Saccharomyces cerevisiae S288C: one gene and its partners. Changing the gene in region 3 together with the main gene of any one other region gives a genetic interaction. Each region holds a gene or a part of one and is shown on either strand. Other genes may lie near its edges.

Region 1 (7,334 bases), on a different chromosome or scaffold from region 3:
ATGGTGCATATAATACCTAACTGACCCAAAATGAAGCCAAAACGAAGAAACATAAGGATAGACAATACGTTTAAAGCAGTAGGCACAAATACCCCATCGTATGTTCCCAACTTATCTTTGTTTGGGTTATCAGGATCATACTTAGAGGAAACTTTTTGGCATTCAGGGGTCGCCTGATAATTGAAATATGTTTGACTTATTCTCCTTGCAGACAACAGTGAAGAAGATTCATTTGAAGAAGATATTGCCGACGATGGCCGATGCGTACCTGGAATCTGATAAAACCTACTAACCATTAATCCTACAAGAAAGGCCTATTCTTAAAGAGAATTGGCTGGCAAAAACACTGTCTCTATCACTTCTTCGACAACAAGCACAACCATTTCTTAGATTTCCTTGTTACTCTTTAACAACAATGTTGATAATGAATCCTACGTTATCAGTTGCACAATTATCAAAATCTTCTTGTCACCCGCCCGCGCCTTGCCTATAATGAAAAAGGGTCAAATAAGAGCAATCTTGATCGAGAAAGCTTCCAGATTAGAAACAAAGAAAAATAGGAAAAATAAGCCGAAGTAAACGTATATTAGTTGAGAGTCTCCTAATGTCATTTTCCAATTCTAAAGACAAGTCCGTTGTTGCCGTCTACAAGCTGGTCAAAGCGCCAATCTACTCTCATTGCTTTTCTCAAGATAAATCTATTTTAGCCGTTACATGCGAAACAGATTGTCTTGTCTATAGAGTTTCAAACAACACACCTCCCGTTTTATTCGCAACGTTGAAAGATCATGATAAAACCATTACTGCTGTGGACATTTCCATACATGGTCGTATTGTGACTTGCTCCCAAGACCGTAATGCTTACGTTTGGGAGCCATTGAGTGATGGGACATACAAGCCCACGTTAGTACTTCTTCGTATTAACAGAGCAGCTACTTCAGTTACATGGGCACCAAATGGTTATAAGTTTGCTGTTGGGTCCAGTGCTAGAATCATCGCTGTTTGTTATTACGAACACGAGAATAATTGGTGGGTATCCAAGCACATCAAGAAACCCATCAAATCTACCATCAATTGCCTGTCTTGGCATGCAAATGGAGTCCTATTAGCTGCTGGTGGTACTGATGGGTTTATGCGTGTGTTCAGCGGGTTTATCAAGGGTTTGGATTCCAAGGAATCCGTCGCCGGATCACCCTGGGGCCAGAAATTCCCTTTTGGTTGTTTAATCAGGGAGTGGTATCAGGGTTCTTATATCCATGATGTGGAATGGAGAAGTCAGATGGAAAGAATTGCTTATGTAGCGCATGATGGTACTTTGAATGTTGTCGATTACCAATCTCCAGTGCAATCTGTCAATGCTCCGGAAGGTTTACCTTACAGGTCCTTAGTATGGATAAACGACCACGAGATTGTTTGTGGAGGATACTCTTGTCATCCGGTATTGTTCAGCGAAGCCTCTGAAGGCTGGAAATTTGCGAAGAATCTAGACAAATCAGACAATAACAAGTCTTCTGCCTTAACTGCATCTGGTAATACAGACGAGCTGAGTGGTAATAATGATGAAAGTTCAACTTTCGGTATTTCCGCATTGAGAAAGTTTAAAGAATTAGACTTGAAAGGTAAAGTTAGCACAGATGTCCAAGAAAGTGCACATGAAAACGCCATTGTGGAATTAAGACCTTTTGCGGAATCCAACGGCCAAATCACACAAGTCTCTTCCTGTGGGTTAGACGGTAAGATCGTCATTTATACAATTTAAATATACATACGTATATATATATATTGTTATGTGTATTCCCTACCTCATAATACACCTTGAGTTTGTATTGTTTTTTTCTTCACTTGGCATATACAGACTATATTATTACAACTCACAGCACAATGTAGTGTACCGTAAAAAATAAAGCATCAGAATCAATTTCTTGCACCAAACCATTATTTAGAATTGCTACCCAAAGACTCCTGTTCTTGCTTTCTTTGCAAGATAAGCGAGTACACGCTACCTTTTAGCAGTGTCCCAACTAAACCAATTTTGACCTCTATGTCCCTCATCTCCTGTAGTATCTCATCTGGCGATACAGTTTCTTGCTGTGAATGCTGTTGCCTGTGTTGCGAATAGTTTAGTTCTTTTATAGTTTCATCCAGAGCTTTTAGATCTAAAGAAAGCTGTTTGTATTTGTCCAATACTTCTTGCTGTAAAGGTGAAAGATTGTGTTCCATACTGTGACTACAACGCCGTGTATGTTTCACAGCGACTTTGACTGGCTACTGTAAGCTCTTCTTTTGTATTCTTTGGAATAGTTTATTTACATGTAATTACTGTAATAGCGCGCAGCCGAGCTAAAAAAAAAAAAAATACAAAGCTTTTGATCAATTTGTTACAAAGAGAAATAATTCCGCGTACGTATTTCTATTGATATTTATATATCTACATTCATTCAATTTATTACCTTTTCTTTTATTTTTTTTGCCTTTTGTAGTTTCTGTATTTTTATTTTCTATGTGTTTTTATTGACTAGCAGTATATTTAGAGGGGCGACCTTCTTTTACGTTCAGCATTTGATCTATCAATTTCAATTTTATTGCTAATCAACATAATAGCAGCTTGGGACGCCATGAACGTACCTCTTATGGTAAGTCTTCTCTCCGAAGAGCCTTCTACAGGATCTTGTATAATAATTGAACAACCTGTGGATTCCTTGACCGAATTTATGTGCTTGCCATCTTTGCCAATGACATTTCCGACAAATTTCTCATCTATGAATATCTCTTGTTGTACAAAGTTCATTAATAAATGGTTGCCGGGTGCCGGACTGATAACAGGGCCGTCTAAGACTGTCACATTAGGGATAACGAAGTTCGGTTGAAAGGCCGTTGCGTTTGCAACGCTAGCAGTAGTATACTGCGGTGTGGCCATACTCAACAAAGTAGATGATATTGGTAAATTTTTGTTGGGTTTGTATGAAAGTAGTTTATCGCTTGGATGATATTGGTGGTTTCTTTGATGGAAAATGGTGTTCGGTTGGCTATGGTCTATTAATACTGAGTTAAACTGAGTTGGCTGATAGTATATGGACCTTTTCACATTTTTCTGCGGAGATTCCATCTGAAAGTTTAGCAATGTTTGACTAATGTAGAAAGTAGCAATATGGATAGCATCCGGAACCCCGTTAATGGTTAAAATTCTATCGTTAGAAAGCAGCAATTGATTCGGGGACGCGAATAATTTTGCTGCACTCAAATCCTCAATTTCTCTTAACCGAGACCCACGTTTGCCAATTATACATCCCATAAGATGATGAGGGATCAATAGGTTGATAGAAATCTCAATGTCTTCCCCGTTATCTTCGTTACCATGTTCTTCAAGCAGCGCTCTTACTATCATGCCGTATGCCTTGGCTACATCATCGCAAGTACCCCTCACGTAAACAATTCTTTCAGGAACACCTCTGATATTATTTGATATGTTTATTCTAGCAGAGGTTTCGGATTTTATTCTAGATATAGTGGCGCCCTTGTGTCCTACTATCAGTGAAGCGTGTTTGACTAAGCACAGCATTCGTAAATGTACATCAGAGGGAACATTGTCGGGGGAATCGTGGTCGTTGTCAGAGTGGCTGTCTGCATCCTTCAGGGCCACGCGTTTGATTTCTGCTTCCAGTTGTTCCTCGCTGGTGTCTTCACCCTTTTTCCTTTTGAGCGTGTTGGGAGAAACGAGTACAGTAGTTGGTGTAGTAGTGATTGATGGTTTTGTAGTCTCTGTGGACATAATTGAGCTAAAGAGTATTACAGAAAGATTATTTAATGCCGCGCTGGACGATTAAAATTGTTAGAGTGGATGTGGCTATGGATAAGTTTGAATATGAAAAAGGTTACTTATGCGGCTAACGACTAGGTGCGTATTTATCGTTTGACGAGTATGTACGTGTTTTCTTTTGTATCATGATATTTCGTGTAAGTACCATATCGGGGAAAGACAAAAAAAAGTGAATTAAAGAGCGAAGTTTAAAGATGATGAATAGGATTAATCGACAAGTAAGAAAAAAGACGAAAAGGCGTAAACTGGAATAATATTGTTTCAAGAAAGAAAACCCACTAGCCTATAAATGCCAGAAGTAGAGACAAAGATTATACCAAACGAAAAGGAGGACGAGGACGAGGACGGCTACATAGAAGAGGAGGACGAGGACTTCCAGCCTGAAAAAGATAAATTAGGTGGTGGTAGCGACGATAGTGATGCCAGCGATGGCGGTGACGACTATGATGACGGTGTGAACAGAGATAAGGGTAGAAATAAAGTGGACTATTCGCGTATAGAGAGCGAGAGCGGCGGACTGATCAAGACTAGAAGAGCTCGGCAAGCTGAGGAAGAATATGCGAAAACACATAAGTATGAATCGTTAACTGTTGAATCGATCCCTGCAAAAGTAAACAGCATCTGGGAGGAGCTACAGGAAGCTAGTAAGAACCGTCTTTTGAGCAGTTCAGGGAAAGTCGGCTCTGTTCTCGACGGTTCCAAGGAGGCTAGGTCGACAACGGCCGCGCAACAGGAGGACAAAATCCTCATCGAAAGAAACTACAAGTTTGCTGGTGAAACTGTCCATGAGAAAAAATGGGTTTCACGCAGCAGTGCGGAGGGTCAAGAATATCTAAACAGTTTGAAATTTAAGCAGCAGGCGCCTGCTGCTCCTGTTCAACTGGAAAAAGCAGTTAGGACCAAGTCCAATGAAAGCCGGCAACACTTGCGACGGCCACTGAAAAGGCCTCCATTGTTGGAGCAGATCATTTCTGGCGGGCTACGACCCAAGCTAACGACATTAGAAAAATCTCAGCTGGACTGGGCTAGTTATGTAGACCGTGCTGGACTTAACGACGAATTGGTGCTGCACAACAAGGATGGGTTCTTGGCCCGGCAAGAATTTCTGCAGCGGGTCGGGTCTGCAGAGGACGAGAGATACAAAGAATTGCGCCGGCAACAACTTGCTCAGCAGTTGCAGCAGGATAGCGAAGCTTCATAGACAAATATTACATGTATTAAATAACATGCTTTTCTGCTCAAATTTTTTTAACCGCCGAGGCCTGCACACTTTCACTACGTGTATAACGATGCTGCAGACAAAGTAATGGGGTGTATGGGTGTGGGTGGCAAAAAAAACCTAGCAACGCTCTATGTTTCTTTTCTTTTTTCTTTCTTTTTTTTTTTTTGCCGTTTCCGATGGGCCACTCGGTGAAAACATATAAAAAGGGCTCTACATTCATTTTTTCATCGATGAGTACTTTACTTGTTATCAGATTTATTCATTTTGTTTCTACTTGTTTTTTTTTTAAATCCCCACGAATCTCTTTGCCTTTTGGCTTAGATCAAGTGTAGTATCTGTTCTTTTCAGTGTAACAACTGAAATGACCTCAATGAGGCTCATTACCTTTTAATTTGTTACAATACACATTTTTTGGCACCCAAAATAATAAAATGGACGGGAAGAGACTTTTTAAGCAAGTTGTTTTCCGCTAATGTCAGGTCTCACTACTTTTTGCTGCTATTTTTCTTCGCTCATGGTTTCTTCATAAGGCGTTTTTATGATGGTTTTTCGAAATTGGTTTTTGAGACGACGGTTGCTCAAGGTTATTGTTTTTGTTTTCTTCTGGTTGTTTTCTATTTTCTTTTTTTTAGCTTTCTGTTTCTCCCTTAGTTTGGCTTTTTGCTTCATACTCTTCCCTGTCTTTCCGAGCCGTTTATGTCCAACGCGGGATTTGGTTTTTCTTTATCGATGGGAAGAAATGGTGCTATAGTAGGTTGGGAGATAATATTTATGGTATGGGGTGCTAGTGCGGATGGGGCGCTCTTATTGTTGATTTCTTCGCTCGTCTTCTTTTTCTGGTGGCGCTGCAAGAGGAAGTTTTTCGACTTTGTTATGATTTTTGGTTTGCAAGGAAAGGTGTCTTACGATTCTTTTTTTGATGTAATAGGATAAGCTTGCTTATCCCCCAAGTATCGGCCAAAGTTGTTGATTTTCCTTTTGAAGTGTCCTCGGTTTGAGGGGGTGTAGGGTGGGGTTGGTCTACAATAAGAGTGTTCCATTGTTAACGTGCTGGCGTCTTTTACTATATTTTTTTTCCCAGTTTATTTTGTGCTTATTTTCTCATTGAGGAGAAGGAGCTCTTCTCGCAGGATATAAATGGAGGTTTGCTAAAGGGGAGGAGATGTGTTTGTGAGAATACTGCTGAGAGAGTTCTGGAAGAGAAAAAAAGGAGGCAATGGAAGGCGTTTGCTGGGAAAAGAGAAGAGCCATGACTGCATCTGTTGTTTCAAGGCCAGTTTTATTAACCGCCTATGTCATAGAGGCGTTTTTTTTGGAGGGATTTGAAGAATGCCGGCGGCATCAAGAAACGGACTTGATGGTTGACGCCTGTTTTTAAAGTTAGAGACGTCGCGACCCTCGCACTTGTGGAGTCGTTCTTGACTTTTACTTTGGTCGCTTGATGTTTCTCTCGTCTTCCCGTTCGCTCTTTTATTTTTTTATTTTTTTTTTCCTTTGACTTCGCATGAATGAGTTCATTCATGAAGCGAAAGGAGAGATTCTATATACCACGCAACCAAATATGTAAGTATATAAAATATATGTATGTGTGTGCACTAATTGGCGGCATACTCTTTCTTGACCCGTTGTGATAGGGCCTTAGCTGCTTCCCATTGCCTGTCCCGAGTCCAGCGACTCAAGACGTTGGACGTGCGCACGTACTCACACATGGCCGAATTGGCCCTTACGAATGAGCTCTTGGCTACCCCTCTTGCTGCACTCGCCACACACCATAACTGGTATAATTCGTTTCTCATGCTAGTCTCTTTTTTTTTTTTTACTTGTTTCCTTTTCCTTTGTTGCTTATCCGCTTTCTCGTTCTCTCCTCTGTTCTTGCCTCAACTCCTCAAATCTCTGCTGTCCCACTTACGTTTTATTTTTTCACCGTCCCCTTTCCCTGCCCTACTACCCCGGGCCAGCGGCCAATGACGCCGCCGCTACCTCCTCTCCCGTTAATCGTCCCTGCGTATATAAAGTGTCGATCAATGTGCCCACTTCAACCGAAACCGCCGACGTAACCCTATTCCAACAATTAGAAACATAACATCTACCTCCAGCATCTCATAATATGTCTGCAACGTATGTACACTAATATCTGAAACGTATCGCCTAATCTTTTCTCCCGGTTCTCTTTTGACTAACGTATATCATCTATGACCATCTTTCTTTTCCCCAGTGCTAAACACGACAGTAACGCTAGCCCAAATTCTGACTCTGAAGACGGTCACCACCACAACAATAAGAAGGAATGCGCTA
Region 2 (5,735 bases), on a different chromosome or scaffold from region 3:
TAATTTCAAAAAATAATACGACACCAGCAGGATTTGAACCAGCGCGGGCAGAGCCCAACAGATTTCAAGTCTGTCGCCTTAACCACTCGGCCATAGTGCCCAAAATAATCTGGTAGTGTTAGAAAACGGAAGGTATTAAAAACATCTGACTAAAATTAATTTCCTTATATTGATGATGAGTGTTTCACTAGCAGAAGTAATTCTAGCTAGGGACACTAAGAGTGTTGGAATGAATATTATATATTATTTTTTGACTATTATTCATATTACTGTTACATATTGTCATATACGATGCAAGAAGATGACATAAAGATTGGGAAGTAGTCGCCAAATTTTTTATTGAAGTTAAAGTGTAATGATTGGAACTTCTAGCATATTCTGTATATATAATATTATCGACTATGGAATCCCAACAATTTTACAAAATTCTCCAGATCTCAAGAAAGTATAAAAGATATGGTAATATCATTATGTAAAATTATTGATTCCCTTTTAGGGATGCCTATGCCCTCGAGAAGTGCTAGAATATTTTGCCTGTCTAAAATTATAACCTCTATCAATAATGGATCCTCAAAAACTATCCCGTTATTCACCTATTTCTTAATCCAAGGGAAGTTGGACAACCATTAGATGTGATCCGCTAGGAAAGAGATATAAACTGCTTTTAATTGGCTATGAAAAGCTGTCCGTACATTTATTAACTGCGGGAGTACATTTGCTATTTCAGGCCTCATGGAGAAAATAGTACATTTTGTTCCCTATTGAAAAATACAGAGAAAGAAATATTGAAGTGTTGTTAAAAAACATGTAATAAACGCACCTATGGCATACTGAACTTAATTTTAATCGAGGTTAAGCTATAGCGTTTCATTCTCTGATGTCTTCTCATCGGTAGAAGGTCTATCATTCTTTTCTAGTGGGCCGTTATGTAAATAATACTCTTTGAATAAATTAGCCGTCATGTAATGGATAAATGCACCAATGAATCGCATTGGTATGATAAGCCCTAAATAATCTCTCTTGCCTGGATCCTTCGTTCCAGGAACGCTTATACCCCGACGACTCATTTCTGTCATAAAAGAGGCCAGTTGAATTATTAAGTTAGAAGTGGTTAGAGAAACGTATAATAGGAAAAAATATAACCAATTCTTATATTTGAACCAATTGGGGGATCTTATTCTTGTATTGCAGCGAGAGCATCTTATCTTCGTACATCTTGGAGGCAGTAGATTAATCTTATGTCTATATCCTCTTTCCATCCACACAGCAAACCCCCAAATAGAAACGATCGCTGAATATGCTACGAACCAGCCCACAGTATTATCAAATGTCAAAAGTTTAAATGGGGGAAAGGGTACAAATGAATATGCAAACATTTTTCCGATGAAAATTAATCGCATTACTTTCATAGTAAGTCTGACGGCTAACGGCGGCAATACATCATCATTACTACGAGCAGGAATATTGCTTTTGTCTTCTGTGCCGTTTTGCATAATTCCGTTGCCAATCGTCTTGGAACTGGAAACATTTAATAAATGCACTTAAAACAGAAAGGGCCTTTTTTATATATTAAATTTTTGACTGCCAAAAAAATTTCCAGTTTCTACTCTCTTTTTTACTGAAGTAGCAAGCGGCCTGCTGATTTATTTTCTAGACAGTACACTTACAGCTGCCCCGGGATCTTGATACATAAATACGCTGCAGCAAGAAAACGCAGAATGGAAAAAAATATATATATGCAGTAATAATATCGACCTCCTCCTACCTACCTATCTACCTATCTAGCGTGTTAGTGGTTCTTGTTTTAACCTTTTTCCTACATTTTTAGTATTTCTCACAATGATAGAGATGTCCTTGATTATATATATTGGCAAATGACCGGTAAATGGCTCAGTTCGCAAGCTCATTTATTCTAACGTTTATCTTTTTTAGAATATAGGCCACACTAAACAAACTCAGTCATATGAGGTATGAAAAGCATGCACCTTGCACTAGAAGGTGTACGTAAACCTAAACTCCATCGAGTGTACGGTCCACAATGTGTATTTGAGCCACTCCGTACCTCCTTAGCTAACGATATCCTGAAATTTTTCAATAAATTTACTCCAGCATTTTACATCATCATACAAGTTACATTCTGAAATAGTGTCGAGAATGATATGATCTTCACTTACAATTAGTTGTAAGACCGACGATTCAGGTTTACTAGGCTTAGAACTGACGTCTTTCATTTCTATGTCTGCGTCATCCGCTGTTGCAGTACCATAATTTTGACTAGTGCCTTGCAGTACACCATGATCTTCCATCACAATATCAGTTCCTGCATTTTCTTGATTCGAAACAGAGGCGGTGAATCCGAGGTCATTGGCACCATCCATAGTTGTAGAGTGCTCTTTGATGCTGTCTCCATTTTCCTCCTCTATTGCGGGTTCAGATAAAATTTCGTGCAAATTAAATTGCTGTAAACCCTCTTCTTTAAGCATCATTGCTTCAGTTATACTGGGACGTTTGCTTTTATTAGTTGAAGAACGCCTTCTTCTAGAGGCCTCTACTACACTTCCATGTCTGTTACTTCTTGGAATTGGCTCAGTGTTAGATGTTGAAGAATTTTTGTCTTTAGTCGAGGTGGAGAATGGAGCTTGATAGTCAGGTTCAAGTTCCGATGAATTTGAATTTGAACTAGGTGTGGAGACCAGTTTAAAAACATTTTGAAGTACTATCCTCGACCATTGAACCCATTTTAGTATCTCAGAGATTAGATCTAGATTGTCATTACTTATGTCAAATTTTTTAATATTGATTAATTTTGTTGTAAAATCGTTCATCAGTTGTATTCTACTATTGTAGTTATTGTTCGAAAATAAATCAATTATAGGTGGCGAAGAAGATGAGTTTGATGAACATGTAACTTTATCTATAATAAGTTCCGGTGATATGAAATCCTCAGGAAACCAAATTAAGTCTGTATAGTTACTTTCCTTAGCGTTTGCTACTATTTCCATAACCAAGGAAATGCCGTTAGAAAAATTCTCAGCAGATTCATTTATCCAAGATTTGGTTTCTTGTGAATATATGTACTCATAGAACCTGTATTGTGAATCGCTTTTGTTTTCTTCTAAATAAATTTTGGCTAAAGGCACTTCCTTACCATTGATGCCCTGGGTTAAAATATATATTCCAAATTTATCATTCAAATTGGTCCTGACTTTAAAGTCGCAACAATTGTCTTGGAAACATTGTCTTATATAGTGTGATAGTTCCGTGAAATACTTAAAAAGATCAAGTTTACCTTGGTTGTTAAATGATGCGTTGCTTGAATCTAAGCTTTTGTCAGAAGACCCATTATTATGGGAGGTAGAATCGGACTCGATGTGGGAATATGCATCTAACAGATATAGAAACTTCAAATTGTTATGAAAAGCTTTCAAATCAGGATACTTTGTTAAGGAATTTAGAAGAATGTTGCTTTTTTCATGCTCTCCATCTCGTTGGTTAAAGTAGTCAAAATTATCAAAATTAGATGCTAGTACGAGTTTAACGTCCTGAATTCTGTCTTGCTTCTTATTGTAGTCAACATCTATCACGATAATTTTAGATGCCGTCGATAATCTTGAAAGTTCATTACTCAATTCTTCTGTGAAGGACTCGAGACCCAAAGTTTGACAAAGTCGTGTTATATTCTCCAAAGTTATGGAACCAGGTTTGTAATCCTTGAATAATTCAATCATGGAGTCTAAAGTCTCCACATAAGAGTCTCCTTCTACCATCTCCAAAAGAGTTTTGTTGGCTTTTGTTCTATGTTTTCTTTGCTTTTGATTAGGAGTTCTTTTTCAAACACAAACGTTCCTTAATAGGTAACCTTCATTTTAAGTTTTGAAAAATTAATTAGTTGCAATTACATCCTGACAAAAAAAATGTTGCAAGATTTCGCAAAAAGTACATTTGCAATTTTTAAAACATCAAATACCTACTCGTAAGTACAGGATTAAGACAATATACAAACGCGATTCTCTACACCAATATTCTGCACCTGCATGATTTCAGGAACTCCTCATTTCTTTGCTTGAGAAAAAAAATTTTTTCACCTTTCATTTTTTTCTCTAAAAATGCTATTGGCATGAGATAAGGAATAGCTGTGATATAAAACTGACTTAGTAATTTAGTATCTTGTACGCTTCACATAGTAGTTCAGTCAAGAAGAGCAAACACTAATAAGCAATAAATCTAATGGCACAAGAAATCACTCACCCAACTATTGTAGACGGCTGGTTCAGAGAAATTTCTGATACCATGTGGCCAGGCCAGGCCATGACTTTAAAAGTGGAGAAAGTTTTACACCATGAGAAGTCAAAATATCAAGACGTTTTGATCTTCAAATCCACTACATATGGTAATGTTCTAGTTTTAGATAATGTAATTCAAGCCACCGAAAGGGATGAATTTGCCTACCAAGAAATGATTGCCCATCTTGCCTTGAATTCCCATCCAAATCCTAAGAAGGTTCTTGTTATTGGTGGGGGTGATGGTGGTGTTTTGAGAGAGGTTGTCAAGCATGATTCCGTTGAGGAAGCCTGGTTATGTGACATTGATGAAGCTGTTATTAGACTATCAAAGGAGTACCTACCAGAAATGGCTGCCTCTTATTCTCACCCAAAGGTTAAGACCCACATTGGTGATGGTTTCCAATTTTTAAGAGATTACCAAAACACATTTGACGTAATCATTACTGACTCTTCTGACCCAGAAGGTCCAGCTGAAACCCTTTTCCAAAAGGAATATTTCCAATTGTTGAACAGTGCGTTGACAGAAAAGGGTGTAATCACTACACAAGCAGAAAGTATGTGGATTCACTTGCCAATCATTAAGGACTTAAAGAAAGCCTGTTCTGAAGTTTTCCCAGTTGCAGAATACTCTTTCGTTACTATTCCAACTTACCCAACTGGTACGATTGGTTTTATGGTTTGCTCCAAAGATAAAACTTGCAATGTCAAGAAGCCACTACGTGAAATCTCTGATGAGAAGGAGGCTGAATTATACAGATACTATAACAAGAAAATTCACGAAGCTTCCTTTGTTCTACCAACCTGGGCAGCCAAGGAATTAAATTAGGGAGAATATACATATATATGCATATGTTTGTTTAGCTAAATAATTTTATTGAGCTTTGCTTGGGAAATTTCTTCATATTACTACTTATAATAAAATAGAATATGAAAAAAACTAAAAAATTAATAAAGAAACAAAAAGTAAAAAAAAGGTGTATGTACTGTAATATGAATTAATAAACACCTGTCCATTTTAGAAAAACGCTATGTCGAAATTGGTCATATCAACGTCAATATTTCAGTCTCAAGTAGCAGATTTACTCCCATGTAACAATCATCAAAAATCGCAGCTGACATATTCCCTAATAAACGCGTACGATCTTCTCCAGCACTTTGACGAAGTGCTAACATTTCCCTACGCCAGAAAGGATGATCTGCTGGAGTTCCATTCGAAATCATATATCGATTATTTGATAAATGGCAGATTCAATAAAATGATGGCACAAGATGTAAATAATCCCATGGTAGAGTCCAAATGGAGTGAGTTGAGTGAATTGGCCGATAATTGGAACGAAAAAATCGACTACAATCCATCGCAAGATCTTCAGAGATTCACCACTAGAGAGAATCTCTATAATTATTATCTGAATCACTCACAAGCGCTCGAAAATAATATGGACTGTATTAATA
Region 3 (6,694 bases):
TCTTGGGCAACATAAATTCCAAATATTGCTTCTGGTAAACGTAACCATCCTTGGGTCCCCAACCATGAATTTTGTCATTGGACCTAATGCCGTTGACTTGAGGTTGAGAGTTTATAGTGATGATAGAATGCTGGTTCAGCTCAATCAAGTGTGCTTTGATTGGATTTATTTCATCATTGATGGGGATATCACTCCAAGGTAAACACTTCAAGTTTCCATTCAAGTAGTTGATGACCAAGAAGGCGACGTCGTTGATGGAAGTAGGGGTGGACCATAATTCGAGACATTTGTTCGCTGATTGCCTGATCAAGTCTGAACCACACAGATCCAAGTCACCGAACGCAGGAGAAGACGAATCACCGAATCTACCGTTGGGGAATTCGTCCACGGCCCATTGAGAGGTTCTTGCGACATAGGAGTAAGGTCTTCTCTTCCAGAAGATAGGTCTGACTTCCTCGTTTTTACGCTTTGGATTCAAAGATTTTCTCCATGGCAACACGGCCAATGGATGTGCATTGAACTCTGATTCCGTAGGTAGAATGTTCAATCTTTCCAGAATCATGAGAGGCGCTTTTTCCAAGTTCATGGTGTAGATGTGCAAGTGAGAAACGTAACCACTGTCGAGCAATTTTTGACACATTTCCACGATCAAGTTAGTTCCGATATCACGGACCAACTCGTCATCGTCCTTGATAGGATCCAATCGGGACGAGAAATGTTGAGGGATGGAGATTTGGCCCCATTGGGCCCTTCTCAAGAAGGCCGCGTAGGTAGTGATCGGCATGATCCCGGGAATAATGGGCACGTCCATGCCCGCAGCTCTAACTTGGGAACACCAGTTGATGAAATTATCAACATCGTAAAACATCTGAGTGATGATGAAGTCGCCGCCGGCGTCGATCTTCTGCTTCAAATACTCGAGATCAAGCTTCACGTCTTTGTTAGGCAACTCCGGATGGCACTCCGGGTAGCCGGCAACGCCGATAGCGAAATGGTCACCGTACTTGGACTTGATATACTTAATCAAGTCCTTGGCATACTGGAAGCCACCTTCAACGGGAGTCCAGTTTTCTGCGTCCCTAGGAGGATCTCCTCTCAGCGCTAGGATGTTCTGGCAACCGGAGTGATAAGCGTTTTCTAAAGCGTCGTCAATCATCGAAATGGGCATATTGGTGCAGGTAAGGTGCATGCACGTTTCCAAACCAAGCACAGACTGCGCTGTCGCAACCAAGTCCGTGGACAGATGTGACAACCGTCCACCGCCTGCATTCCAGGTGATGTCAATAAATTGGGGCAAAGAAGCCTCGTACATCCGGTCCATCCGGTCATACAGGTTCTGTACACCTTGTGTAGTCTTCGGGACGAAGTACTCGAATGAGTAAGTGGGCTTGCCAGAGGTCTGTCTATGTTGCTCTAATTTTTCTGTGATCTTCATATTGCGATGTGGTTGTAGTAGTAACTGTGGTGGTTCTGTTTGCTGATAACTTTAGTTTAGGGAGACTATTTCAATCAAGGGGAGCAAGGCAAACTACACGAAACACAAGCTGTGGCATTAGCTTTTCCACGAGCGAAATATCACCTTTTTTTTTCTACTTTTCGTATATATGATATATATACGTATATATATATATACATACAAACATATATATATATATATATATATCAAATTTTGGAAAAATTTGAGTCAAAGTTGCATATGCAATATTCACAGTCTATAATCCGAGGGATAGAATGACTAAACGACGGCCCGCTACCGGGAGAAAAGTCGCTGTTATTTTTTCAGTCGCTCGTGGTCTATCGCCAACTTTTCCTGAGTCATACTGGACGTAGCGCGGCTGCGTCGCGAGCGTAGACAAGGCCTGTCACTATGTACGCAGCTAGCAATCCAGACATGTGCTCACGTACGGTGTGGAAACGGGACGCCACCGCAGTCAACAGCAGCTGCCATAACCACGTGACCAATAGCGTCAGCAGTATGATTACTGGGTGGTCGCATGCTATGCATCGCGTCAAACGGAGCAGGGCGGCCGCGCACGTGACAGGCGGCTCGACTATCGCACGCCACAAACGGGCGCCACAGGTCATTGAGCCGCCGCCACACCGCCGCCACGTCCATAGCGGTCCAGTGTCGAAAAGGCGGGTCACCAATCGTACAAGCTGCCATTTCTGCGCGTACAAGTGAGCCAGTGCACGACGCCCAAACACACGTAGCTCACCTAGAAGAAACATGCACATCAAGGTGGCCAAGAACACGTGCCCGGATGGATCGTGTCCTCCAGCCCAATGGCCTCCAAAACGTCTGCACTGTGCCGAGGTGGTTAACGGACCTTGCCACCTGTGCATCTGGTCATGAATAAAAGTATTGATGGCAGCGGCAGCGCTGGCCGTTACGTTTTTTGGGGTTTTCGGTTGCGTCGCCTGCAGGGCGCCCTGGATCGACCCTATGGAGCGGTCCCAGAGTTGTTGCTGACGGTGTTCTTGGTGGTGTCCGTGCAAAGTGAGGACATTGTGAATGAGCGCCAACGCGCGATTAGTCCGGGTGACAGAACCCTGGAAGTCTTCGTTCACGTGACCTGCATCATCGAAGACGTCATAGTGACAATGGCCACCCGTATATACGAATACCAAGTCCATGATGGGGCCTACGCCAAACCATATACCTTGCGTGAATACGTACCACCACACTGTCAGTATGGCATACCTTTTGAATGACTGGACAATGTGTCTTCGGTCTCTGCCGGTTGCCCCCGGCACCGCACGGTAGCGTATAATACACCACCATCCGACCAAGGAAGTCCAAAACCACCCTTTCTTTACCAACATAGCATTTACCAGACCATCCTTATTCAGGGTTGCTTGCAGCGCCGCACCGTAGCCATACGCGTTCATGAGATATCCTACCAGTACCGTCAACGGGCACACCAGTAGGTGTATAGCATTAAACCATTTGCTAGACATTGTTGTAATATGCCGTGCTTTATAGCTGGTTTCAGTGGAGTTTTAGGCGTTTCCCCTTTGGCTTTTTTCGAACAGTTCGTTTTGTATTTTATTTCACGGTTTTCCCGCTAACGTGTTCTTAAAGGATGAAAAAGAAAAAGAAATGCAGGAAAAATGAGGCAAAGTAAGCCAAAACTTATAGCACTCATAAGACGGCAAAGTTCCCCCAAGCTCCACCCAGGATGTCAAGCACTAATGGAAACGCACCAGCGACACCTTCCTCGGATCAAAATCCTCTCCCCACGAGGTTCGAAGTGGAGCTCGAATTTATCCAGTCACTGGCAAACATCCAATACGTAACGTACTTACTCACTCAACAGCAGATCTGGAAGTCTCCTAACTTCAAAAACTACTTGAAATACCTGGAGTACTGGTGCAACCCCCCTTATTCGCAATGCATTGTGTATCCAAACTGTCTCTTCATTTTAAAGCTGTTGAACGGGTTCATGGAGTCGGCGATCGTTAATGAAGATGGCCTGCTGGAAGGGCTAGACGAGCTGCCCAAGATCATTCAATTACAAGGCCCGCAATGGATGAATGAAATGGTAGAAAGATGGGCCAACTGAACACACCTAATTATAACTACATTCGCACGCATTCATATATCTATTTTATACACTCATGAATATATATACACACACACACATATATATATCACATATATACATATATATATGTATATATATATGCAAGCCGCATTACTTTGTATTTTCTTTCCTTTGTTTTCCTTGCATATTATCTCGCAAGACATTAGAAGATGAAAGCAAAATCAAAAAGCAAGTCCATCGCCGTACTACAAGCCTCGCCACGACTATGCCAGGACACGAATTGGAAGACGTAATAAATCAACGTTTGAACCTATATGATGTATTAGAATTACCGACCCCCCTGGACGTCCATACCATCTACGATGATTTGCCCCAAATTAAACGCAAATACAGGACCCTTGCCCTGAAGTATCATCCTGACAAACACCCGGACAATCCATCAATTATACACAAATTCCACTTATTATCGACCGCAACTAATATCCTCACCAATGCAGACGTGAGACCCCATTACGACCGCTGGTTAATTGAGTTCCTACGGAAAACAAACGACATTGAAAGAAATAAACTTATACAAAAGCTGGAAGAATCTGAATCGAGTACGATACCCACCACCACACCACATCCTGATTTATTGCAAATCCAACGCCACGGCGAGCTACTCAGGAAACTAAAACATTTCAACTTGCCCTATGGTGACTGGAAACATCTCAACACACAAGACCAAGAAAATGCTTCGCAACATCCGTATTACGATTGCTCTACTTTGAGAATTGTCCTTGACAACTTCCTGCAATCAAATAATAAATCAAACTGCTTATCTCATTTGCGCAATCAAGTATTCATCACGCTAAGTGCTAATGAAATCTACGACATCTACTTCTCTGAAAGAAACAACTACTCGAAGGATGATTCAATCATCATATATACTGTATTCGATACTCCCATCACAGCGCAGCACGTATTCCGAAACTGGTCAAGTGGGAACCTCATACCCACGGTCAAGGATATTTCGCCCTTGATCCCGCTACATTACTACTCTGATTTTAATTTGGAGACGGAACTGAATGACGATATTGCAAGACTGGTCTCTAATGAACCTATCCTACTCGACTAGCTTGCACATATGTATGCCTGTTTTTCTTTATCCTATGGAACACTATATTTTCCGGGGCTTTCTTACAAAACGGAAGAAAAAGAAAAGGAAACTCAGCAAGTACTATGTACAAGAATATATATATATGTATATTGTATATATACATCAACTTCTATACTTCGAGGGAAAACATTAACAAGAGAACAAGTACAAGCCACGTGGTATACGTATCAGAATAATGCTACGTATGTCAACTTCAAGATTCATTGGGCAAAGGCTGTTCACTACGGCACGATCTCTCCAGGCTGCTAAACCGGCACCAAAAGGTAAAACTCAAGGATTTTCCAAAAAATCATCTTCAGTCTCATCTTACTCATCTGCAAAGAGAGTTACTCCTGGTTCATTGTATAAAAACTGGACAAACACCACGCACACCGCTCAATTACAACAGACCGCCGTTCCTTTGGCATTACCTATCTTCAACTTTGATGATATTTCCAAGACTTTGAATAAAGTAGTATCATATTCCAACAAACAGTACAAATCCCTTCACCATTTGGGTTCCTTCAAGAAGTCGCAGTTCAATGAACTTTTTCAAAAACCGGTTTGTCTAGTTCGTGAAGATGCAACGAATAGCTTTTTGAAGAAACTAGTATCTCATCCTGTTAAAAAATTTATAATCACTGGAGAGCCAGGGGTCGGGAAAACTGTACTACTCTCTCAAGCGCATGCATATGCAGTTGATTCCAAGCAAATCATTATTAACATATCATATCCTGAATTATTCCTGAACGGTAGGAATGACTTTTCTTATGATGATGATTTAAAGCTTTTCATCCAACCGATGTATTTGAAAAAGCTTATAAGGAAAATATTGAAGGCAAATGACCCTGCATTGTTAAAATCTATTGAGCTATCCAAAGACTACAAGTTCTCGAATGCAAACCCAAAGAATGCCTCTGTAAAACCATTTGTCACATTAAACAAAACGAAAAATACAGTTTTAGATTTGTTATCCGTAATGACCCACCCGCATAATCGTGGAAAACTAATGAAAGCCATTATTGATGAGTTATCTGTCCAATCCAAGGTGCCAATCATGTTTACAGTGGATAATTTTTCAAAAGTGTTAACTACTGCATATTCTGCGTACAGAAATACAGAGAATAAACAAATATATTCCCTGGATTTACAAATGGGTAAATTGATGATGGACATTATTTCAGGAGAGACGAAATTTGCTAATGGTGAGAGTTCTACTATATTAGCTATATCCGGCGTTGACAGGACAAACAAAACTTTACCCGTGGCATTGGGCAAGATCCCAGTAGACCCCTATGTTACTAGATATCACTATGAACCGAAGTTCGTAGAATTGCTCCAAAAAGGTAATGTCACCGAATTCGAGGTTCCTAAACTGAACAAACAGGAAGTTAACGAACTAATCGATTACTACAAACAATCAAATGTTTTATTAGACAAGGATATCACAGGAAAAAAGTGGGAGAACTTGATTGACGAAAAATATTTCCTAAGTGGTAACGGTAACCCAAGAGAATTATTGAAAAGTTTAGTCCTTTCCCATAGGTGATAAGCATGCGCATATATATACATGTATATGCGTATATAACACTTTCACCCTCGCTTCTCAAAATTCTCCCATTTCTCATGTACATATAAATAGATAACTAACTGAATTAATTTAGCAAAAGCAATTGCTTTTGCTTTTCTATCTTATTCATACACAAAATTCTTACACCGATATATGTCGATACGAACACTTCTTAGCCTAATCCGACCAATCATCCTCGTCTACATATTTTGGCTCCTTATCATTACTTGGGGGCTGTGAATGGACTGGCTTAGAGGTAGATAATGTCGCATTTTGACTTTGAGACGGTAGTGGTCTCCCACTACCACCAGCCATATTTGCTCTTCTCTCGTCCCAGCACCTTTTAATATCACCAACAATTTCCTCGAGGTCCTCCAATGAAACTGAATCGTTGATACTCTCCAAAACTTTCTGGACCACCGATGTATGATTACCATTTAA
Region 4 (10,685 bases), on a different chromosome or scaffold from region 3:
TCCGTCTGTATCATTCTTAGCAAGGCTGGACGAAGTATCATGCTCCTGTGAATGAGAATCTGTAAATTGGATATTATGCTTATTGGGAAATAGGTCATATATTTGGTTGACAGAACTCATATTCCTCAAGGAACTTCCCTATTTTTAAGCAGTTTATAACTTTTTGGCCTCTTATCACACGCCTGTTTCCTTTTTTCCCCTAGAGATGCTTCTATTAGTCTTCAACAGTATATGATTATGATAGGCAATGCATGTGTAAAGTTAATATATCAGAAGACTTTTCCCTGAGAACGTGTATGTATACTCTGTAGGTCTTTTGATATAACTCTGTATTTGCAACCCTGGCTTCACTTTTTGCACAATTATTGAATTTTTCTTCCGCCGAGCTTTAGAGAAAAGGATGGCACGCCGACAGTAATAAGAAATGGGTGATTATCAAATACTTTTCCTAAAGCTATAGAAAAAATGCACATTTCTTTTGTTTATATATTACAAATGCTTTAATCATTATTTACTTTCTTCTTGACAGAATCGATCAAGATCTTCAGCTCTAATATACTATCAGGAATGTCCTCCTTACCTTGATCGGCCCCATCTAGCACAGGAGTAACAGGATTAATTGGTGTTTGACATATTTCTTGATTTCCCAGAATCCTTTCAGAAACGTTATTCAAATATACAGATGTACTCTTCTGGTTTTCGATTAATTGTTGGGACTGTATATCGGTGGTGTTATTCCCGCTAAAACTTGCAGCTGGTATGTTATTACTATGGCTTGGTGTGCTAACGGGTAATACGGTATGTAAACTAGTAACTCTCGAGTTTTTCCTGAATTTCATCGCCAAATGAGATGGTAAAGGTGGTGAAGTAGACGAACCAGAGGTGTTTAATCTAGAAGCTAGAGGAGTTTTAAATTGGCTCGAATGAGAAGTTGACAGGAGTATTGGCAATTTCCTTTTCTTGCTTCTTGGTGATGCATCTATATGCGATTCTAGATGCGCATAGGTGTTCCTTTCGCCTATTTGTTGTTGGTACTTGTTTTTCTCTTTTTCCAGCATTTTCTTCATCTTTTGATCAATGTCCTTTGTAGTTTGTAGTTGAGTGCTACGTGAGTGAATGCCGGCCAATGACCTTTTCTGACGAAGTGTTTTATCATATTTTCCCCTTTCTGTCAACTTGTACACATAAGAATGTGATATTTCAGATAATTTGTCCTCTAAACACTTATGAGGGGATTCTTCGGTGAGATTCATTAAGTCAATGCGTTCAATAACACTACTATAGTTTTTAGATATTCGGTTTAATTTTAGTAAGTGTTTAATGGTACTTTCCGATAAAGTATTTTCTGCGGATTCCCAATAAATAATCAAAAGGGAAAAGCATATATTTGTATTTAGAGAAATACCAGTGATTAGCTTTATCAGTTCTTCACCATCATCTTTCAGTTTCATCTCCAAATCGAATATATCTGGATTCGTAACACCTGTATTAAATATCAATAATTGCAAATCACTAAAATCAGATGGTTCATATTCATCATCAATACAAATTATTCTGCTAGAGATAATATTATTGCTGAACTTTTTTGAATCCTGTGCTGTTTGCAGATTGAACTTACTTAAGATCCAACGGTTTGAGAGTGATGTCCAATCTTTCGCATAAATGAATAAATTTGCCGGAGTAAGAGAATTGGAGGGGAACTTTTTCGTAAGGTTATCATAATAGATTGATTGCATCTCTAACGGCCGCCAAAGTTTTGAAATCTTGGTTAAATGAGTCGCAAACTTATTAAACTCGTCATTTACAGGTGAAAATATTAGATTCTTATCTGAAGATGATAGCATAAATGATGAATTTACGTTACCCTTATACGGGGTTCTAAACAAACATGTAGATTTTTTAAAACCTGGTACTCCTAATTGGTGGCTTACGAGTTTAATTTCTTCCCTTTTTTTTTCTTCTAATATACGGTTCTTCTTTGCTTGAGAATAAGATGCTTGCCATTTCTCAAAGAACTTTTTTTTTAGAGTGGAATTCCTTTTCAATTCAGCACGAGAATCCATATATATCAGATACAACCTTTCATGAAGAAATGCGTCATAAAGTTCACGGGTCATTGTGTCAATGAAGTCCTTCCTATAATTAGCCTCTGAAAATTCACGCTTAACAATACTAATCACGCTACTGTTTACCACTTCTTTTACTAAGTCATTTGCAATTTGTTCAGTGATTACTTGTTTGTCCGCATTTTCTTGCTTCTTTTTCAATTGAGTTTTCTCTTCTTCTATTCGTTGTTCTTCTTTTTTCCTCATTTCTTCTTGCTCTGAACTCAACTTCTCATCATATGCACCATTGCTGGTCGTGGATATCATATGAGCCTTGGAAGCTTCCACCGTAGAATTCTGTGCTGATTGATCAAAAACAAATGGGGAGCCTCCGTCTGTGACGGTTTTAATTTGTTGTTGTTTCTGTTCCGATAGGTCTCCATGAACCTGTGGCGTTAATAAAGGATTTGTTGATAAAGTATGAGATTGAGATATTTGAGGTAATTGCTTAGATTCCTGTGAAAAAGGAAAGTGGTTGGGCCGCGTTGCAACTCTTTTTGGAGAGGTATTGATCTGTGGTTTAACGGATGAGTTTTGGTTCAACTTTTCGTTATAGTTGTTTTGAAAATTTTCCATTAAAAAAGATTGGTCTGCGATAGAAGGTATTCTATCCTTTTTTGGGTCCTTCACATAAACCGAAGAAGCCAAATTATCTTCACCGCCATTAATTAAACCCTTGTAAGTAGTTTTCTGTAATCTCCTTTCTAAGCAGGTAAGGTATGTTTTTTTTAAAGGTTGTGTTTCTGACAATTTGTGAGAATAATGTTGCAATGTTTTCAAATCGGCTGCATCCCCATTTATGATTTCAATTGAGTAATAATTACAAAATTCAATTATTTCTTGCCGATTATTAAAGAGTAACATATTTTCCAAATAAATAAATGGTATTGGTTTATGCTTTTTGTTTAAAGTATGTGATAAAGCTCTTAGCGCATAAAATCTAATATCCGTCAGATGCATTTGCAAAAAAAATCCCATTAATAATGGCAAGCTGGGTGATTGCATTAACTGGAAAAACCTTGCGTAGAAGTTTAAACAATTCTCAGTTTTAACAAACCCGCGTTCAGTATAAGCTGAGTTAGATATAACCCTTCTGAAACATAAAGCCATTTGAACTAATTTATCTTGGAAAATATGTTTTGGTAATCTTTGGATATTCTCATCGTATTGAGGGTCTCTTATTTTACTCAGGAGAGCATAAGCTCGAAATTCAGCCTCATTTGGGCATGTTCCGCCGCTGGAACGAACGTCATCGTATATTTCTGATAACGTGATAAGGGATTTATGCAATTGTTCTAGTTCTTGTTGAAGCGAAAATTCCACATTTGATTTCACCATGATATGCAAGATCAGAAGATGTATCCTAACAATACGCTCATTACAATCTACCGCCTCAGGTCCTGAATAGTTCTGATATGTAAAGTCCTGCCTTATGGATCTCATCCTATCCCATAAGAATCCTTCGCTTTCAGGCAATGTTGTTAATAAGTTATCTACAATATAGTCCAATGTCTTGACTAAAATATGGGGTGGCCTAACATCAGAAGGTAAAGGAGGAGCTGCTGCTGCTGCTGGCCTCGCGAAGACCTTCAATGCTTTAGTTCGAGAAGCTTTTTTATCATTTGGTTGATTTTTTTCATATGAATACACAGTATATTCAACGTTTCTTCTTGATCTCTCGAATGTGGGACACATATCTAAACAGGTACCTTGAAATACTATAGCATCGTAAAGATCCTTTGCTGAGTCAGCTTTATCCACTAGCCCTTTTTCTTCCATTATCGATCGCTCAGTATTTCTCATTTTTTTTAGTGTTTCATACAATTCATTGAGATCATCTATGGATTCTTCCAATGAGATCATTTTTTCTTGATTAGCCTTGTCCCAGGGATCTTGTACAAAAGCTCTTTTCTCCAATTGAGGTTCTTGATTAATCAAAAACCTTGGTAATTCTCTTGCTTTGTGCGATCTCTTCTGAAATCCCAAATTATCAGGAGAGGAAATCAGTGGACCTACAAGTTGAATGGTCTTGGCATCGTTTATCATATATTTTTTCTTTTTATCTGGTTTATTTTCCGTGTAGGAAGGTGAGTGTGAGAGATTTTGTAACGGTTGCTGCGACTTCTTTTGAGAGGTAGAGTGCACCATGAAGACATTTTTCGAAGGTTTCGTTTCATTGCTATTTAAAAAGAAATTGCTGTTGTTAACAGTACTATTGGCACTAGTGTTATCATTATTTCCATGCCCTTTGAAAAAATTGAAATTAGTGGAAGGCACTACTGAGCCAAATGATGTGTTCATTTAAGGGATACCTTCCAAGAGTATTACCTGAAATGAGTACCAACAGTGCTATTGTGAGTGTATCCCAGCTTTGAGATATGTCTGCTGCTTTCCTCTCTCCTTTTTTTTCCCATGTAAATGAGTTGTTTGTATGCATCACTACGCTCTCTGTTTAGCTTTTTTCTTGGGTCAGCGAGAGAATTACCTTTTCTTGAAGTGGAAGAAAAATAATAAAGGCTTGGTATTATACTATTGAAAAGAAAAGAAAAGAAAAAATAATGAACATTGAATCACGAATTCTCGAAACTCAAGAAACTAATAATAAAGATCTACGTTTCAAATTATTATACGTATATTCATACACATATACTTATTTACTTGTTTTGTATTTTTTGTTCGTTCGAAAAAAAAGTAAGATGAAGACATAACTTTGCAATTTTTCCTTAAATCAAGTTTCTTGCTAGTAAGATTTCGGCAATCAAGACACCAGAACCAGCGGCACCAATAATGGTGTTGTGGGAAAGGACAACCATTTTGAAATCTAACAATGGGTCTTCTCTGATTCTACCAACGGAAACACCGTAACCGCTGTCTCTGTTCCTGTCCAACCTTGGTTGAGGTCTGTCTGGTTGTTCCAAAACATGAATAGTTTGCTTTGGAGCAGAATGACAGCCTAATTTGTAGGCATCGCAGACGTATTCTTTTAGGCATGTCTTGACTTGCTCGACGGATGGAGCAGGTCTGTTCTTGAACCTCAAAGAGATACATTCGGTGTGCCCATCGGAAACAGCGACTCTGTTACATTGAGCAGAGACTTTGATTTCTTCTGGAGTCAATAGTTTGACGTGTGTCTTGTCTTCTGCTAATGGAGCCAAGATTTTCTTGGTCTCCCATTCCATCTTGTCTTCTTCACCACCAATGTATGGAATAATATTGTCTAGAATATCAATACCTGGTACACCTGGGGAGAAACCAGCACCTGAGATTGCTTGCAAAGTAGTAGTGGTCAAAGCATCAATAGGACCGAATTTTTCAATCAAAGGCTTCAATGGTGCAACCAAACCTGCAGTGGAACAATTGGAAATACAGATAATGAACCCTGGTCTTGGCTTACCTTGAGCCTTGGCGGTGTCAAGCTTTTGAGCTACAATATCCAAATGCTCAGGATTGACAACAGGAACAATCAATGGCACATCTTGTTCTCTTCTATAATTCTTGGCATTGGAAACAATGGCGATACCAGCTTCCATGAATTCCTTTTCGATAGCGCCAGCATAGTCAGCATCCAATCCGGAAAAGACGATGTCACACTCTTTAAAGAATTCAGATTTACATTCGGAAACAATAATATCGGTAGCAGATTCCGGTAGCAAATCGGTTTGCTTCCAGTTCACAGCGTCAACGTATTTCTTGCCAGCTGATCTAGAAGAGGCACCAAGAACTTTCAGTTCGAAATGAGGGTGATTTGCCAACAACAGAATGAAACGTTGACCAACGGAACCAGTAGCACCCAAAACACCAGCAATTTTCTTTCCAGCCATTTTAGAACGCTTTATTTCTACAATTTAATTTGTATGTGTACTTAAGTGAAAACAAGAAAAACAAGATTTAATTTTATACTCGAAAGTGAATGAACAAATAAATATGGTTCTTTTATTTATTTTTTCTGCTTTTCTATTTTTCTCTAACATTTTGAACTGGTAGTAGTCAGAGGAAAATGAGTCAATCAATGCTTGACAACATGATTTGGAAAAAAAAAAAGTGTGAAAAAAAAGAAAACCGGGTACTTTGAGGCCGCTGCCGGTGATATTTGGATCTGGAAAGAAAGAGAAAAAAAAGCACTGAAGACGTTCAGATGTCAGAATTCTAACTGATATGCATATATTGTAGTATACAGAAGGCGTATGTGAATGGATATGTAGGATTTTGTGTAAAAGGGCAAGGCTGCTGCTACAGGTCTCACTCATCGGCGAATGTAGTTTTCTTGCCGCCGGTGGCACTAACACCTATGCTTGTCTCCTTCTTCTCCGTCGTGGAGACCTGAATGGGCGCGGCGGAAAAGTCTTGGGCGGGTGGCAGACCCTTGAAGTCTCTCTGAATCCTCTTTAATTGCGATATGGAGCTGGAAAGGTTGGTGTCGATGTTGAGGCTGGTGTTAGCCACAGCGGCAGCGTCCGCGTCAGCGGCGTTGCCGCTGATGGTATTCATGGTAGTACTATCAATAATGTTCTCCTTCTCATCGATAAAGCTCTCCAGAAATTGAAGAACCTCGTCAGTAGAGACATGTTGGGGCAGCTGCGTGGCATGAATGACCACAGGCGTGTTTAGCGTGGTAGCAGTGTTATTACCTGTTCTTCTAGAACCTTTCATCATCTTGTATTATCGAAATCTTACCTCAGACGTCTCCAGTTCTGCTCTGCCTTACCGATGAGACCTCTATAATCAATGTGATTTAAACATATGCATCATCTTGAAGTAAGCTCGAAATGAAAAATTTTACACCCGCAATATGCTTACCCGTCGCTGTTAGATGTTACCCGCCTTTCGCCCCTTAGGGGTTTCCACCGCCCCCCTCGTCCTCTACGGTATTTTCTGGGGCGCCCAGCCCGCCACGTCCCGCCTCGTCTCGAATTTCTTCCTCTGCTAGACGGGCTTCCACGCGCTTCCACTCATTTCTGTCTCTGGTAATGGCCGTGGCCCTTCTCACTTTGGTTGGGCTTACGCTGACAAGTGTCTGTTCGATTCCCTGTATAAATATAAACGTATTCTCTTGAGCCTTCTATCCTTTTGCCACTGTCGTCATCATTTGTTCCTCCTTTTTCGCTAGATAGGTTATATTAAGATTTGTCTTGAATTTAATATCTCAACTCAATCCAAACTCAACCGCTAATACTACCATGTCCCAAGTCTATTTTGATGTCGAAGCTGATGGCCAACCAATTGGCCGTGTCGTTTTCAAGTTGTACAACGACATAGTCCCAAAGACTGCAGAAAACTTCAGAGCTCTATGTACCGGTGAAAAGGGATTCGGCTACGCTGGCTCTCCATTCCACAGAGTTATTCCAGACTTCATGTTGCAAGGTGGTGACTTCACTGCTGGTAACGGTACCGGCGGTAAGTCTATCTACGGTGGCAAATTCCCAGATGAAAACTTCAAGAAGCACCACGACAGACCAGGTTTGTTGTCCATGGCCAACGCCGGTCCAAACACCAACGGTTCTCAATTCTTCATCACCACCGTTCCATGCCCATGGTTGGACGGTAAGCATGTTGTCTTTGGTGAAGTTGTTGACGGTTACGACATCGTTAAGAAGGTTGAGTCCTTGGGTTCTCCTTCCGGTGCCACCAAGGCTAGAATTGTTGTTGCCAAGTCCGGTGAATTATAACCGCTCTGCCTGGAACAATACAGCAAAAATTGAAACGAACTATTCTCTCTTAAATTATATGTATATGTATAAGGTATGTGTATGTATGACAATCAATTCTTATAACTAACTCTTCCTACCTATATCGGAGTATGTTGCCAGGCTTGCCAACTAGCCAACTACCGCCTAGGTTATGCCTGTTAAGTTGACGCCGCCGGGTACCGCCCCCTGTTTTTCCCACGTTTCTTTCTTTCCTCTAGGTAACGGATTTTCGGCTTATTTTCCACAGCGAGAAAATTTTCTTTCTCCTGCACTTTTTTTCATATTCAGGTCCTTTGATCCATTCATTCATTCTTGTTTTAATTTCAATCTAGATTTTAGTTTTCGGTTGAATTTATCTTTAGTTTTTTATCAATAAGAATTGGTCTAGCTTATCTTTCCAGGCTGCTTATAGTTTACTTTTTTTAAAAAATTATATTTCTATCCAATATACAAATCGGAAGGGAAATTCATATACACAAATTAAACGTTCCAATTGCATAAATACCAACACCATACAAAATGGACTCATTATCAAAAAAGATTCAAAATTTAGGTATCCATGATATTAGAAATGCCGCAAGGTTTGCCCAAAACGTGATAGTCCAATATGAGCCTTATCAGATAGATATCCGTCGTGCTACAAATACCGATGCTTGGGGCCCCACACCGAAGCACCTCGCCAAGGTTTTAAGGAACAGATACCAAGTGCCGCTCTACTTGATGACAGAATACACGTTGAAAAGATTAGTCGACCATATCGCTACCAGGCCCAAGAACCTATACGAAAAGGCAAGAAAGGACTACGTTAATTATGGGTCCGAATGGAGGGTGGTCTTAAAATGTCTAGTAGTCATTGAATTCCTATTATTGAACGTCGACACAGGTGACGAACTGAATCAGATTAGATCATGTTTGCTCACTCATAAGCATATTTTAACCAGGGAGATTGCCCAATTCAAGGTAAAATTCTCCAATGATGGTAAAATGGAGATTCATGAGAGAGGTATTAGGAAAAAGGGAGAACTTATCTTGCAATACTTGGAAGACTCACAATTTTTGAAAAAGGAAAGAGCCAAGAATAAGAAGAATGCCTTGAAAATTCGACAGCAAGGAGAATCCTCCATTTATAATGCCAACCAGATTTCAACGTCTGCAAGTTACGATAACATCGACGACGATGAATTTGATGCAGATGCAGATGGCTTTGACAGTGAAATGGATGCTAATAATGTGACCAACTTCAATGTTCCTGTGGAAACAGAAGCAAATTCGAATACTCGCAGGCGTTCTCATATGGAAGAACAAAGAAGACAAAGAAGGGAGATATTAAGAGAGCAGATCAAAAATAAAGAACAGCAGAGGAAAAGAAAGCAACAACAAGATAGCATCCCTGACTTAATCGATCTTGACGATAGTACTAGCACCACGAATAATATAACAATAGACAATGGTAATAATGACAACAAAAACAATAATATCAACAGCAATAGTGATGATGATGATGATGAGTTTGGCGACTTCCAAAGCGAAACGAGTCCCGACACAACAGCACCTAAAACTTCCAATAGTAAAATAGATGATTTGCTTGACTGGGATGGCCCAAAGTCAGACACAGATACCACCGCTGCTGCGCAAACATCATTGCCCTTTGCGGAGAAAAAACAGCAAAAAGCCCGTCCTCAGGCTACAAAGGACAAGTCGAAGGGAAATGATGCATTTTCCGACTTATTCTCTTACTCCAAGTCGTTGGTCTAATCACCAAATACCCCTTCATCTCCCAATACATTCAATACAGTCAACAAATTTTCATTCTCAGATATATGTATCCATATATACACTAATAATATCTTACTAAAAACTTGTCTATTTCCTTCTTCAAATGTCAGTTTTCTTTTTATTGAATATCAAAAAAATATTATATAGATACATTTGTATATGTCATTATCCATGCAGAAGAAAATACTTAAATACTTAAGTACACAAGTATTTATTGATTTGCTATTTCGGTCTTGGCAAGTCCCTTGGCTACGTCATCTACACTCGCGTCATCCTCTTCCATATACTCGTCGCCTGTGCCCACCACGCCTTGTTCAAACATTTGCTTACCGGTTAGCTTCCCATGATGAGCCTTCATCCTTCTCACCTGGTCTCTTTCATCCAGTTTCAGTTCTTGGCGAAATTTAGACCTCCATTCCAAGTACGATTCTCTTGTGACTTTAGTACCATGGAACTTGGCCTGTTCCTTCTTTTCACGTTCTTGTGCTTCCAGCTCGTACTGCTTCTCGAGCTTATTCAATTGTTCACTATACCATTGCTCACATCTTTCTTTTATGGATGAAATCAATGCAAAACACATTTGCATACCCAATAACATATCGGTTTCGATTTGCGATTCTAATTGTACGGTTAATTCAGGCAAGTACCCCTTAAAGCTTATTAAATCTGGCAGGTTTTCAAACTTTTTCAGTACTTTATTACCATGGTCGTCATATTCAACCTCGTCTTCATCTTCCTCGTTATCTTCTTCGTTGTCATTGAGGGCTACTTCTTGAGCTTCCAATGAAATCAGGCATGGTTCGTCAGGGTAGTTTTCTGGTAACTTGAATTCGGCGATTATAGTGTGCTCTTTGGTTAAAACAGAAGTAGAATCACCTGTATCCAGCTCTAATTTAATGGCTACTTCAAATTTAATCTTTGGGTATTCATCGTTTATGATCCTCAGTTCATCAGGATAAATGGACTCTAAAACTTCTAGTTCCTGCTTCTGTTCTTCCTTATAATCCATAGTATTAACAAGTGCCTTCTGGATATGGAGGGAGGGCTTTTCCTTAAATTATACCAACCGACAGCATGGGAAACTCAGCTCTTTAAAGCCAATCTAACGATGCCTGCT

The links.
Region 1: mutations in SOH1 (region 3) and SWC5 together harm fitness more than expected from each alone (negative genetic interaction), as found in Saccharomyces cerevisiae (5 studies listed by BioGRID, with this or other methods).
Region 2: mutations in SOH1 (region 3) and MED1 together harm fitness more than expected from each alone (negative genetic interaction), as found in Saccharomyces cerevisiae (5 studies listed by BioGRID).
Region 4: mutations in SOH1 (region 3) and SAC3 together harm fitness more than expected from each alone (negative genetic interaction), as found in Saccharomyces cerevisiae (6 studies listed by BioGRID, with this or other methods).

What each region holds. Positions count from the first base shown.
Region 1 is NC_001134.8:679,863-687,196, reverse strand, and holds SWC5 (Swc5p), read left to right. Parts: upstream 1-4,106; coding exon 4,107-5,018; downstream 5,019-7,334. Other genes in the region: VHC1 (Vhc1p), read right to left, coding at 1-296; ARC40 (Arc40p), read left to right, coding at 605-1,759; DAD3 (Dad3p), read right to left, coding at 1,936-2,220; telomere maintenance protein PBP2, read right to left, coding at 2,528-3,769; COQ21 (Coq21p), read right to left, coding at 6,635-6,835; OM14 (Om14p), read left to right, coding at 7,147-7,157, 7,255-7,334. UniProt on the Saccharomyces cerevisiae protein: Component of the SWR1 complex which mediates the ATP-dependent exchange of histone H2A for the H2A variant HZT1 leading to transcriptional regulation of selected genes by chromatin remodeling. Involved in chromosome stability.
Region 2 is NC_001148.4:683,930-689,664, reverse strand, and holds MED1 (Med1p), read right to left. Parts: upstream 3,768-5,735; coding exon 2,067-3,767; downstream 1-2,066. Other genes in the region: YPR071W (uncharacterized protein), read right to left, coding at 858-1,493; SPE3 (spermidine synthase), read left to right, coding at 4,228-5,109; HOS1 (histone deacetylase), read left to right, coding at 5,312-5,735. UniProt on the Saccharomyces cerevisiae protein: Component of the Mediator complex, a coactivator involved in the regulated transcription of nearly all RNA polymerase II-dependent genes.
Region 3 is NC_001139.9:267,261-273,954, reverse strand, and holds SOH1 (mediator complex subunit SOH1), read left to right. Parts: upstream 1-3,179; coding exon 3,180-3,563; downstream 3,564-6,694. Other genes in the region: methylenetetrahydrofolate reductase (NAD(P)H) MET13, read right to left, coding at 1-1,435; SCS3 (Scs3p), read right to left, coding at 1,816-2,958; U2-type spliceosomal complex subunit CWC23, read left to right, coding at 3,811-4,662; mitochondrial 37S ribosomal protein mS29 RSM23, read left to right, coding at 4,880-6,232; CEG1 (mRNA guanylyltransferase), read right to left, coding at 6,431-6,694. UniProt on the Saccharomyces cerevisiae protein: Component of the Mediator complex, a coactivator involved in the regulated transcription of nearly all RNA polymerase II-dependent genes.
Region 4 is NC_001136.10:765,598-776,282, reverse strand, and holds SAC3 (Sac3p), read right to left. Parts: upstream 4,407-10,685; coding exon 501-4,406; downstream 1-500. Other genes in the region: SSY1 (Ssy1p), read right to left, coding at 1-120; HOM2 (aspartate-semialdehyde dehydrogenase), read right to left, coding at 4,829-5,926; YDR157W (uncharacterized protein), read right to left, coding at 5,951-6,352; DNA-directed RNA polymerase I subunit RPA14, read right to left, coding at 6,345-6,758; peptidylprolyl isomerase CPR1, read left to right, coding at 7,283-7,771; ENT5 (Ent5p), read left to right, coding at 8,312-9,547; GIR2 (Gir2p), read right to left, coding at 9,780-10,577.